Regions from separate parts of the Mus musculus genome. Here all the other regions are reported to be linked to region 2. Evidence: microRNA targets listed by miRTarBase, many of them from high-throughput screens and not tested one by one. Region 2 holds a microRNA gene; each other region holds the end of a gene's coding sequence.
Evidence for each region. The annotated mature microRNA mmu-miR-343 reads UCUCCCUUCAUGUGCCCAGA and lies in region 2 at 1,108-1,127, shown strand. An mRNA with a match to its seed (bases 2 to 7 or 8) in the 3' UTR can be bound and repressed. Matches are read on the target gene's strand: a 7mer-m8 pairs with bases 2 to 8, a 7mer-A1 pairs with bases 2 to 7 and ends in A, and an 8mer does both.

Region 1 (4,061 bases), not on the chromosome of region 2:
GCAAGGTAGTTTATCCCCTCTCACAGATGACTGGAGCCTGATAATGGGCACAAAAATGATAGTCACCATCAAGTTACTCTGATGCTGTGGGACATGCTACAGAAGACTGCTTCAGGTAAAAAGTGAGAGCTCACAGAACACAAAAGCTATTGGAAACGTTTTCTTTTTTCCTTTAAAAAATATTATAAAGTGAGACAAGTATTCTTTTTTTTTAACATTTTTTTTACACTCCAGATTTTATTCCTCTTGAGACAACTATTCTTTTATATATATTTATATATATATATAAAGACCTGGTATCAAATATTTTTTTCCGTTTAAACAGACTGAAGTGATTCACGTATTTTTAAGTATTTTAGAAGCCCTTCCTCCAAAACTCCCAGGGCAGTTTTCAGGTGCCCCTCCATCCTGGCATAGTCTGTGTGAACTAAATCCTAGGAGGATGTAGCACCACACACAGGGCCTTTACTCTTCTCCAGTGGTTGCAAACATTTACTCACCCAAACGCTGAGACGGCACAGTTTACAAACAGCAACAGCAATGCAACTGTAGCACTTGACACCCTTCTTTCTGTTTGCACCTTCATAAACACATGCAGTGTCTACTTTACCCTAAGTACCCCAACGTTTATGTCATAGAGAGACGTGGTTGAAAAGAAAAACTTCCTGTGCAGTTCATCCAATAAGGAGAATTTGTTAAGACTAAATATCAGCTCAAAAAATTTGAGGCAAGCTAAATATTAGCTACAGTCACAGAATACACAGCAACTTACTAGTTCGCAGTCCAGGTTGACTGACCAAAATGCTCCAGAAATCCAACTGTGAGTGGCACGACCTAGGTGAGAACTGCACAACTGGCCTCCTGTGCACACAGGTCAGTTAACTCTCAGACACACTAAAACACTGAGCACACCGTCCTTCAAGCTGTGTGCATAGGGCAGGCCCATGTGATACACAAAGGGATTTTTATAGCTCTAGCTGGGTTCCATCTCTATCTTCCCCCTCCCTGTTTGTATATACATATATATGTATAAAATATAGATTACATAATATATATGCAAATATTTCAAAACATTTTTTTAATCTAAAATCTGAAACACCGCTGGTCTCAGGCATTTAGGAAAAAGGAAACATAACTTTAACACCTGTACTGCACAGGTCCCATATTCAAGCTTCCTTAGAATTAAGCTGGTAAAGGAAAATAAATTTCAGATTGTAATTACATTTAAGCTGCTAAGTGTAGCTTACTCATTCTAGAATGCATTGACGTAACACCTCTCCCAGGTGACAGGAAAAGGCATTTGTAAGGACATGGTGTAAGTGGTTCAAAATGGTAAACCATTGGACAATAAGACAGCAAATTGTAAAATCACAGCAGCAACCTCCAACAAGAAACACACCCTTCCTTACCTACCTAAACCCGACATTGTTTATACATCAGTCAAATTTAATTTTACTTAAAAAAAAAAAAAGGAAAAGGAAACCAGACACGGAATACACATGATTCTCAGAGGTTGGGCTGCATAAATAACAACAGCTGTTCTAGGATGGTGTCAAGATTATAGCAAATGCAACCAATGCCCTGCCCTGGAGCTGGGGATGCAGCTCTGTGCTAGAGCCCTGGTCTCAATATCAAGCCCTGCAAAAACCAAAACTAAATCAATCAACAAAAAAACCTATCCCTCAAGATGTGAGGAACTAATAAAACAGCCTTTTAGGAGACCAAGTCCATCAATAAAAAAAAACCACATCTCTGGCATGTCTTATTTTTTGATTCAAGTTTTCATTGATACTCCCTCTTTATACAAAATTTGTATTTAATATGATAAACTCGGGTGTGAGTATCCAGACACAAGGTGTCATGGAGGACTGAGTTCTCAATGTTACGCAAAGACAGAACGGGTGGTGTGCAGAGGCAAGGCTGAGGACTTGTGGGGCAGGGTGAGGGGAGCTGAAACAGGCTTCTGTCTAGAAGGACAAAGTAGAGGGTGGAACAGTCCTGATCACTCTGTCAGGCAGCCCCTATCTACACTAAAGTGCTTCCAATGCAGGACTTGAAGCTTTCCCCAGAAAATTCAAGAGAACAGAAATCAGAAACTGCCCGATTGACTGGCTCTGAGAGGTTTCTTTTTCCTGACAGGTCAGACAGTAAATACTTTATGCTTTGTGGTAATGGTGGTTTTTTGTTTTTGGGGTTTTTTTTTTAACCTCTAAAATGCAAAACAATTCTTAGTATACTAGCTGCACAAAGGCAAGTAATCAAGCAAACACCAGCCTATGTCAAGCCAGAGAACAGCAGAGAGCAGTTCTCAGATGTTAGCCCTCCAATACAACCCCGCTCCCTGTTCTAAAGTACACATCAAACAGGAAATCAGAGGCTAGAAGGGTCAAAGATGGCTAACCTTCTAAGTGGCAGCTGGTGTCACTGAGGGAAAGTGACTTGCTTCCACCACAGAAGCAAATGCACTTCCCTGTGCCCTTCCACTTCTGACTCTGAACCGCCTCCTCAAATGCCCACGAGTTGGTTTTACCGGCTTCTTCACACTTTAATCATGTGCAAGTTCACACTAGATGGCAGGTGTGCTGTGCTCGAGCCTATAATCACAGCATCTGAGAGGCAGCAGCAGAGGGAAGAGAGTGGGGAGGAGGCGGGCAGAAGGGAAAACCTGTCTCAAACTCAGCCCCACCAAAACCAAAGAAACTTGTGCTACAGTGAGGACCATGAAGAACTGCTGATTTTATGTGACTCGCTCCTTTCCAGGGCATTACTGACAGTGATTTTACTGACAACCACTGAAATGTTTCAGATTTCCAGCTCGAATCCTGGCTTCCTTGTAAAAACAACTCCCTCCTGTGGCTCTACAAATGCTGTGGTGACACAAACCAGGGAGCGAGCAGACAAGGCACAAAAGAAAGTCCAGAGAAACTGCAGGAAGCTTAACTAAGTCTCATTAGGAGCTACGGAGCCTCCTTTCCAAGGCCATGGGTTCACATTACTACTGGGCCAGCACAGGGCTTTGGGGCTCTTCTGAGGCTGCTAGGGACTGGGGACCGTGTGGGACACTGGAGAACAGAGCACACCTAGTCTGTACTCCGGCCAACTCCTGTAACACAACACACAACACCCTACCCTGCTAGAAAGGCTCAACTGTGCCTTTCTGCCATTTTTCCTGTTACTACCCACTGTTCCTATGCCACTTCTTGGAGTAATTACATGTAAGTAAAGATCTCTCTCTCTCTCTCTCTCTCTCTCCCTCTCCCTCTTCCACCATTCCCTCCACTCCTCCTCGCCCCTTCTCTAAGTGTTAAAAGTAGAGCTAATTCTTTGTACTGGGGATTCTAGGAGTGTCCCACAAGCATATGTTTATTTCAAGTTTTTCTTTAGACCCAAACAGATACAGTTAGACTTAAAACAAGTCTCCCCCTCGATTTAAACTGCCGAGAAGACATTCCCTACTCTGAACCACAGAGTTCATGAGTGTCACCTTCTGAAACCCGTGGGACTTGTAACACCATACAGCAGATACACTTACAAAACATTACCGAATGTTACAGGATCAGGTATCATCTGGCGTAATAGATGGCGTTACGCACCAACGCCTGCAGTATCACAAACTCCACTAAATCTAGACGTGCATTCGTGTCTTCTTCCCTATATCTGTCCTCACTTACCAGGACTGAAAAACAAGCATGCTCTCTTTCACTGAAAAACATGAGAGGTAAAAAACAAACAAAACGTAACATTTCCTGACCAGTCCCTAGGGTTTCCTTCTATGCTGCTGTATTTAAAAGCTGCTCTTCTTGAAGTTTACATTTAAACTCCTTCCTGACTCCTTCGAGCAATGCAGGCTTAAAGATGACGTCCAGTGCGGTCATTGCCAGAGCCTTGGCTGTACGCAGCGTGTACAGCTGAGCCGCTTGTGATCCTGGGAGGTGAAGAAAACACATTGAAAACCTCTCTCTAGATCACAGTACATTTATTAGTTCCTCTGGTTACCTCTCAGTATCTAAACTGCCTCTCCACCCTCTGAGCACAACACCGTGTTTTCTGAAGTGATTATA
Region 2 (4,066 bases):
TGTCTCTGTTTTATGTTGTCCCCTGACACCCCGCCCCCTCAGGTGACTCCACTGCGCTTTGGGAAGGATGTTGATGGGAAGTGTCACAGCCTAACGGCGTCGTATGTGCGGGCACAGTACCAGCAGGATGCCAGCCTGCCTCACTGCCGCTTCTATGAGGTACAGGGAAGAGCCTAGAACTGGTGAGCAGGGTGGGGGCCACGCCAGAGCCGCTCTCCCTGACCCTGCCACCCTCTGGCCTTGCCCCAGGAATTTGACATCCATGGACGCCAGATGCCGCTCCCTGCGGGCATCTACAACCTGGATGACCTGAAGGCCCTAGGGCAGCGCCAGGGCTGGTGCCCCTACTTCCTGGCTCGATACTCGGTGAAGAGTTGTTTTGTTTCCTTATGAGGCAGGATCTCATTTGTAGCCCAGCTGGCCTCAAACTTGGAATAACCCTGCCTCAGGTTCTCAGCTGTCAGGGGTATAGGCATGAGCCACCGTGCCCATCCTTCTGCTGGCCCATCTGTCTACTTGACTCTGTGCTGTTACGTCTTTATGTCTGTTGTCTGGATCGTCTGTCTCCGTCCTAGTATCTCTGCTTTCTTGTGCCTTGCCTGGGTGGTCCTTGATGTGTTTATAAAAAGATAAAGGGGGAGATATGTTCTATGGAGGTGTGGGGAAAGGGGTGCCTCTGCAGGCTCATGCTGAGGCGTCCCTTACCCCTGAGGGACCAGCCACCACACGACAGTATAGTATAGAATAGGGTTTATTCAGGGCATGGGGAAGGGTGTCAAGAGGATAGTAGAGGCAGAGAAAGGCGGGGGAGGGAGGGAGGGGGGGGTTGCCCATGAGCACATGGAGAGAGATGGGGGAAGGGACTAGAGGATAGAGCAGGGGCAGGAAGGCAGAGCAAAGCAAGAAAGCAAGGGGGGGGGGGCAAGAAGCCCCTTTTATAGTGATTCAGGCACACCTGGCTATTGCCGTGTAACTGTGAGGTGGAGCTTAGACAAAAGGCTAACAGTCCTGTCCATCTTTCCACCCGTCGTTGTGTCTGTCTTTGTGGCACCTCTGTGTACCTGGGATAGAGTGGGTGTGGCGGGGGTAGCAGAGCCCAGGGCAACCTCTCCCTTCATGTGCCCAGATCCTGCATGCCAACGTGGTGGTTTACAGCTACCACTACCTCCTGGACCCCAAGATCGCAGACCTGGTATCCAAAGAGCTGGCTCGCAAGGCTGTTGTGGTCTTCGATGAAGCTCACAACATCGGTGAGGAGGGCGGGCATCAGGGTGTGCAGACAGTGGCAGCCCTCTGCCTCTGCCCCCAGGCCTGCCTGAGCCCGGCTTTCATCCCTTTGCTCTTTCCTCAGACAATGTCTGCATTGACTCCATGAGTGTCAACCTCACCCGCAGGACTCTGGACCGTTGCCAGAGCAACTTAGACACCCTACAGAAGACCGTGCTCAGGTGCCTGTCTGCTCCCACTGTTGTGTGTGCCTCAGTGCCCTGGGCACCTGCCTCATTCCAGCTCCTGTCCCATGTCCCCATCAGGATCAAGGAGACGGATGAGCAGCGGCTGCGGGATGAGTACCGGCGCCTGGTGGAGGGCCTGCGGGAGGCCAGTGTGGCCCGGGAGACAGATGCCCACCTGGCCAACCCTGTGCTGCCGGACGAGGTGCTGCAGGGTGAGCTACTCCCCACTCCCCCACCACCCAGCCCCTGCCCCGCACACGCACCCCTGTACCACCTGACTGGGTCTCCCTGCAGAGGCTGTGCCTGGCTCCATCCGTACGGCTGAGCACTTCCTGGGCTTTCTGCGGCGGCTGCTGGAGTATGTCAAGTGGCGTCTGCGCGTGCAGCATGTGGTGCAGGAGAGTCCACCTGCCTTTCTGAGCGGCCTGGCCCAGCGGGTGTGCATCCAGCGCAAGCCCCTCAGGTGCGGCCTGCACGGGGAACCACGGGCCCAAGCCTTGTTGCTGATGATAAAGGGGTCTGGACCATAGATAAGGCTAAGGGGCAGGTCAGAACTGGATGTGGAGGGCATCCATTGGACTGTGTGGTTGGCAGTGAGTGCCGCAGCCACGTGTCCCTATGTTGGGTGATGAGCAGGTGACACAGCCTTTGTGAGGCTAAGAAAGTATGTGGCTATTCCTCCTTGAGCGTTGGGCCCGTGACACTGGCTGGACAGAAACAGAGTGACTGCTAGCTGGGAGTCTTTTTTTTTTTTTTTTTGGTTTGGTTTTTTGAGACAGGGTTTCTCTGTGTAGCCCTGGCTGTCCTGGAACTCACTTTGTAGACCAGGCTGGCTTCGAACTCAGAAATCCGCCTGCCTCTGCCTCCCGAGTGCTGGGATTAAAGGCGTGCGCCACCACGCCGGGCTCTAGCCGGGAGTCTTAACAGGATATTGCGTGTGAGCAGTGAGCCTGTGCACTGTATGTGCTGTGCTCCAGCCTGGAGTGGTAGCTCTGGGGGTCTTCTACAGTATGGGGTAGCTTCACACAATGCCCAGGTGCCCAGGGAAACATGGTGAGAGTCGGGCCTGTTGCTGCTTCCCGCTCCTGACCCCGTTGCCTCTCAGGTTCTGTGCTGAACGCCTGCGCTCCCTGCTGCACACCCTGGAGATTGCCGACCTGGCCGACTTCTCCCCGCTCACACTCCTTGCTAACTTCGCCACTCTCGTCAGCACTTACGCCAAGGGTGAGCTCGCCTTTCTACTGGGGATCTGACAGCAGGACTTGGGGGTCAGCCACATGGGTGGGGCATTAGCAGGGGGCAAGACCATACAGAGTGCCTGAGTGAGGAGCCTCGTGGTCAGATTCTCGTGTTCAGAGAACAAGTGTGTGGGCTGTGCTGTGGCACTGACCAGAAGGACACTAGGGGTCACCTCACCATCAGTGGGGTGAGGAGTCCTCGTGTGTGACTGAGGGCACCAGGGAACCATGGCAGGTTCTGGGCAAGGGATGCACTTGGTGAGATTGTTGCTTTCGAGGTTCATGTAGCAGGAAGATGCAGAACTGTGGACAATGGGGACAGGAGAGTGTGCTGGGGAGAACTATGGGAGGAAGAGGCCAGGATGGAAAAGCATGGCGCTGGGCATGAAGCTCTCAAGGGAGGCAGATACAGACTGATGATCCACAGAGGCCTGCCTCCCAGGACCTTCTGGGTCCGTCACTTGGGTCCATCTGTCATGTTTCCTCTGTCCATGTGTTGTGTGCTGCCCCACCCCCCCACCCCCCCAGCTCCACACTGAGTTTTCAGGCTTATCCCTGGGGATTACTGCCGTAGCCAGGAAACCAGGTCAGCTGGCATCCTGCAGCTGGGCCAGCCTGGGCCTCGGAAGGAGGAGGCCCCCCCCATCAGCCCCACTGCAGGCTGTTGGCAGCTGCCTGCTTCCTTAAGCTTTCAGCACTCACCATGCCCCTTTCTTTGGCCTTTGTCTCTTCCTCCTCCCCCACCTACAACATCACAATCGGTAGAAGCCTCCTTGTCTACGCCTCCTATCACCTGCCTGAGTCCTTCAGCTTTCAGAAAGGCACCCAGCCCACCCTATGCGAGGCCTGCCCCTTCTCTATTCCAGCTGCGCCTGGGATCATTACTCTCTGGATAGCTGTCTCCCCTAGTACAAGGGAGCTCTTATGGGTGGGACTGAGGCTGTGTTGGTCACTGCTGTGTCCTTGGCAAGGGCTGGACACGTAAGACCCGATCATTTTTGCCAAGTGAAACAGAACCCATGAATGTATTCATTTGTTCAGTTAGCAAATGGGGCCAGGCCCAGCACTACTGAAACAGCCTCATCCTCCCCTTCCCGGAGTCACAGCCTGGGGGAGAATGAGGAGCAAAGATGGTTCCAGGTGACCCTGGGAAGTGGAGCGGTGCTGCAAGGAGCCATGGCACTGTCCTCTGGGGCAGGGATTCAGCCAAGTGGAAGCTGGCACAGCAGCTCAGGGCAAGGGGGCCCTCAGGTGTCTCACAGTGGGACTCTGGAATATGAACTATCCTTGTTTTTCTTGTCCTTGGTTGTGAAGTGTTATCCCAGTCATGGTACCCTGTGCTGGCAACAGAAAAAAACCAACAACAACAACAAA
Region 3 (4,061 bases), not on the chromosome of region 2:
TCTCCCCAGCCCCAGTAGATACGTTTTTGCGTTACGTGGTTGACCAGGGAGAAAGAAAATGCATGAGGATGAGAGAGAAGGAAGAAATGACTGATCTGCCAGAGCCTGACAGGGTCCTGAGAGGAGTCGGTATCCTTACCCAGCCAGACTCAGTCTGCTTTTATTAGAACTAATGTCTCCTCTTGCTTTGCCCCTGTCCACCCATTTGCAGAGTTTGGTGTGTACTGCAGTCACTGTCGGAGCGAGGTCCGTGGCACCCAGTGCGCCATCTGCAAAGGCTTCACCTTCCAGTGTGCCATCTGCCATGTGGCCGTGCGGGGTTCATCCAACTTCTGCCTGACCTGTGGGCATGGTGGCCACACGAGCCACATGATGGAGTGGTTTCGGACCCAGGAGGTATGTCCCACGGGGTGTGGCTGCCACTGCCTGCTGGAGAGCACCTTCTGAACTTAAAGGACAGTGGCACTTCCGGAAATCCCAGAGGACTCCATAAGTGCTGGAGAAGGCTCTCTGCTGCTGCTGGTGGAAAGTCCTAGAACCAGGGCCATCCTCGTGATTTAGGATGGAGAGTATCCTCTCACAGACTGTCACAGCATCCGCTCGTGATCCTGTGTGTTCCCTTCTCCTTGGCTGCCGGGCACGGATGGTGCTGGAAGAAGGGAGGGGGACGCACAGAGCTGACCCTCCTGTACTGTCTGTTGAGTCCACAGTGGATGTTTTCATGAGGAAAAGCACCTGTTTCCAGAGCCATCAGAGCTAGCATCAGCCTTCAAGATTCTGTCCTTGAACCAGGAATGGACCCTCCAGATGCCAGTACAAAGGCACACAGCAGCTGCAAAACAGACTCCTGAGCCAGAAGACGCTGGCTCTTAGTGCCATCCACAAGTGAGCTATGGTATCTGTGACTTAGAAGTTGGCACCTTGATGATGGCCTTATAAAATACAATACTAAAGTGTAATATATGATGGACATATATTCAGCATTCTTTTTCTTGGTACAGGGCTGGAACTCAGCGCCTTGCACATACTGGTGAGCAGCCATACCACTGAGTTACATTCCAGCCCCATAAGAAACTTAAGATGTATATGTTTTCTGTTTCTCTTCATCTGCTTTCCTTTAACTAATAGAAGTTTGTACTTGTGTGTGTGTGTGTGTGTGTGTGTGTGTGTGTGTGTGTGTGTGTGTGAGTGAGTGAGTGAGTGAGAGAGAGAGAGAGAGAGAGAGAGAGAGGGAGAGAGAGAGGATGAATAAGGAAAGTGACCGTCTTAGTGACTCATTTTGCATTGTACTTCTGGTTGAAGGGAACTGTTTTGGACCGGACTAGAATTAGTCTCATGACTTGTAAAGGAAATGCCATTTGACTTTGATCATCTGACAGAGGAAACGGAATCTGACATTAAGGTTCTCTCTAGCCGCAAGAGTCTCATAATTATTTCTTCTAGCACAGGGGAAATGAGATTGCATTTCAGCACTGATACCAGAGTCTCTCTCTGCCTCTGGGCAGGCTGGCTGGGCTCCAGGGGTACTTTTTACTTGAACTCCCTTGCAAACTCATCATGATTTTCAGGGGTTTCACTTGTCTATACCAGGGAAGAGAGTTTAAAAAAAAAAACAAGACCCACTATACTGAAATCTCTCTCTCTTAGAAATTTAAATTCCTTGGGCCTGTCATAAGGCTCAGTGGGCAGAGGTGCCTGCCACTAAGCTTACTAACCTCAGTTTTCTCCCTCGCATGAGCCACCATAGAAGAACTGACTCCTAAGAGTTGTCCTCTGACTTCCACATGTGTGCTTTGATATGTGAATGTACACACACACATACAAAAAATGTAATTTAACAATTTTATGATTCCAAACTAATTAACCGGAGACACATAAGTAATTTGTGTCATTGGATTATGGTTGCACGTGTTTGTAGTCCCTTCACTCACGGGGCTGAGGTAAGAGGGTTTCAAGTTTGAGACCATCCTGGGCTACACAGTGAGGTGATGGCCAGCCTCACTTATATATGAAGACACTTACAAGCAAACGTCATAAAGAAGATCTGGAGAGATCGCTTAGTAATCAAATGCTTGGCTAGCATACAGGAGGTGATGTGTTTGATCCTCAGCAACACACACACTGACACTCAAACTAAAACAAAACAAAATACTACATGTTCCATAATAGGTAAGTGTTGTATATCACTTTGTTTGAAACTATGATTTAAGACTCATGAATGGATTAGGAAATCAGTCTCGTAGATAAAAACCAACACTTTCTATTTTCAAGGATTACTTTGTGTGTGTAAATCTCTGTGTCTTCAAGTGTATGTTGTGTGGGACAGAAGAGGCCATCTGGTTCCTTGGTGCTAGGATTATCAGTCTTTTCAGGACACCTTGTGTCATGTGTGTTCAGGGATCCTAACTTGGATCTTCATGATTGCAAAGTCAGAACTGTTTTGTCTCCAGCCCCCAAACTGTCATATAAAGAAAGTAAAATAATGTGGGTGAGAGACAATCGTGTACTAACACAGTCTGATGTCCTTTGTTTACTAGTGCGTGCGCACACACACACACACACACACACACACACACACACACGTACTTATATCTCATGGTGGCAGGTGGGCCTCACCTCTCCCCTGTATTACTAATTGGTCATGAGACTCCGTGGCATAAGCTTGATCTTGAACTATGTGCCAGGTTTGGTACCAGTGCCTCAGCAGCACGTGTAGTCCGGTGTGCTGGGATGGGGGAGGAAGGGCCGCAGGTATCTGAGTGTATTACACTGTACTCCTCCAGCCTCGTTTGTGTCGACACTGCCGTGATGCTGGTCCCACAACAGGCGGACTGATGTGCACAGACACAGATCTGTTGGGTCCTCTGTGAGTTCACACCATTTACAGAGAGCGGTCTCTTCCTCTACCCCACCGTGAAGCTAATGGAAGCCCTGTCCCTGTTTAGAATGACATAGTTTTCTTGTGTGGATTATTTCTGTAAGAACATTGTCTTCCAAAACAAAAAAACCTTCTTAGTGACTATGAAGTCATTTCAAGTTTAACATGTTTCATAGGGGGCTGGAGAGATGGTTCAGTGATTAAGAGCACTGGCCGCTCTTCCAGATGCAAGTCCCAGTAACCATAAGCCAGGCCACAGACGTTTGTAACTCCCATTCCGGGGATCAGATGCCTTTCTCTGGCCTCTGTCAGCACCAGACATGCACATGCTATGTAGACATGCTGGCAAAACACTCTTTATGCATAAAATAAAAACAAGACACTATGTAACATCTCTCAATAGGTCAGTTCTGTTTGCATTTCCAAGTTACCAGGACAAAAACTTAGTATTTGTGAGAAATATCCCTGTTTGGAAACACAGTGGTCTGGATGCTGGTGGGGTCAGCAGCCTCTCTACCATAGCTAAGTCCTCTTGGTTTGGTTTACTGTGCTCGTCTGAGGTAGGGCACCGTTGTGTTTCCCAGCTGACCTTGAACTTGAGACCTCTGACTGCCAGAGTGCTGGGATTCCACCACACCTGGGCTTTATTTGCTCTTTAAAATATTATAACCTGTGTCCTAAACACCTTTGAATTTGCCAGGGAGAACACTAGGCATGGGCATGGTGGCACACGCCTCTAATCCGCATTTGGGAGGCAGAGGCAGGAGGATCTCTGAGTTTGAGGCCAGCCTGGTCTACAAAGCGAGTTCCAGGACAGCCAGGGCTGTTCTTACACAAAGAAGAAACCTATCCTGAAAAACCAAATCCAACCAAACAAACAAAAACTTTTTGCCATGGGAAAGCAGTGCTAGCTGTCCAGGGTACCAGGGGCTCTTTAGCCCCCTGCCAAGCAGAATGGGCCATGCGTTCTAGGTGACCACCAGCTTGCATTTGTCCTCCCACCTCAAGCTGCTCAGACCACAGGACTTAACACTTTCCTCATGGACACTATGGAGAGTCCATTATGCTTAATTTTAATAAGTTTTTCTACTCTATAGATGCATACAATCTGCATTTGCTGATCCACAGTGGGCATGGCAGCCCTTCCCAGTGCTGCTTTGAAGGGCTAGTAGAATCGAGGGGA

Region 1: miRTarBase lists Pm20d2 as a target of mmu-miR-343. Seed matches in the 3' UTR shown: 7mer-A1 at 3,255-3,261 and 7mer-A1 at 3,249-3,255.
Region 3: the mRNA of Wdr59 is a reported target of mmu-miR-343. Seed matches in the 3' UTR shown: 7mer-m8 at 657-663 and 7mer-A1 at 1,230-1,236.

What each region holds. Positions count from the first base shown.
Region 1 is chr4:33,170,556-33,174,616 of GRCm38, forward strand. Pm20d2 (peptidase M20 domain containing 2) reads right to left here. Exons shown (of 7, transcript NM_001034867.2): 7 at 1-3,925. The coding sequence ends at 3,771. Among named protein-coding and RNA genes, the nearest start is that of Pm20d2, 17 kb to the right of the region's middle.
Region 2 is chr7:19,385,581-19,389,646 of GRCm38, forward strand. It overlaps Mir343 (microRNA 343), which reads left to right and starts at 1,063; the gene lies at 1,063-1,137. Ercc2 (excision repair cross-complementing rodent repair deficiency, complementation group 2) reads left to right here. Exons shown (of 23, transcript NM_007949.5): 6 at 43-159; 7 at 250-366; 8 at 1,127-1,250; 9 at 1,352-1,448; 10 at 1,533-1,666; 11 at 1,749-1,917; 12 at 2,560-2,678.
Region 3 is chr8:111,447,230-111,451,290 of GRCm38, reverse strand. It overlaps Wdr59 (WD repeat domain 59), which reads left to right. Exons shown (of 26, transcript NM_001170742.1): 26 at 212-2,507. The coding sequence ends at 447. Among named protein-coding and RNA genes, the nearest start is that of Gm24793, 31 kb to the right of the region's middle.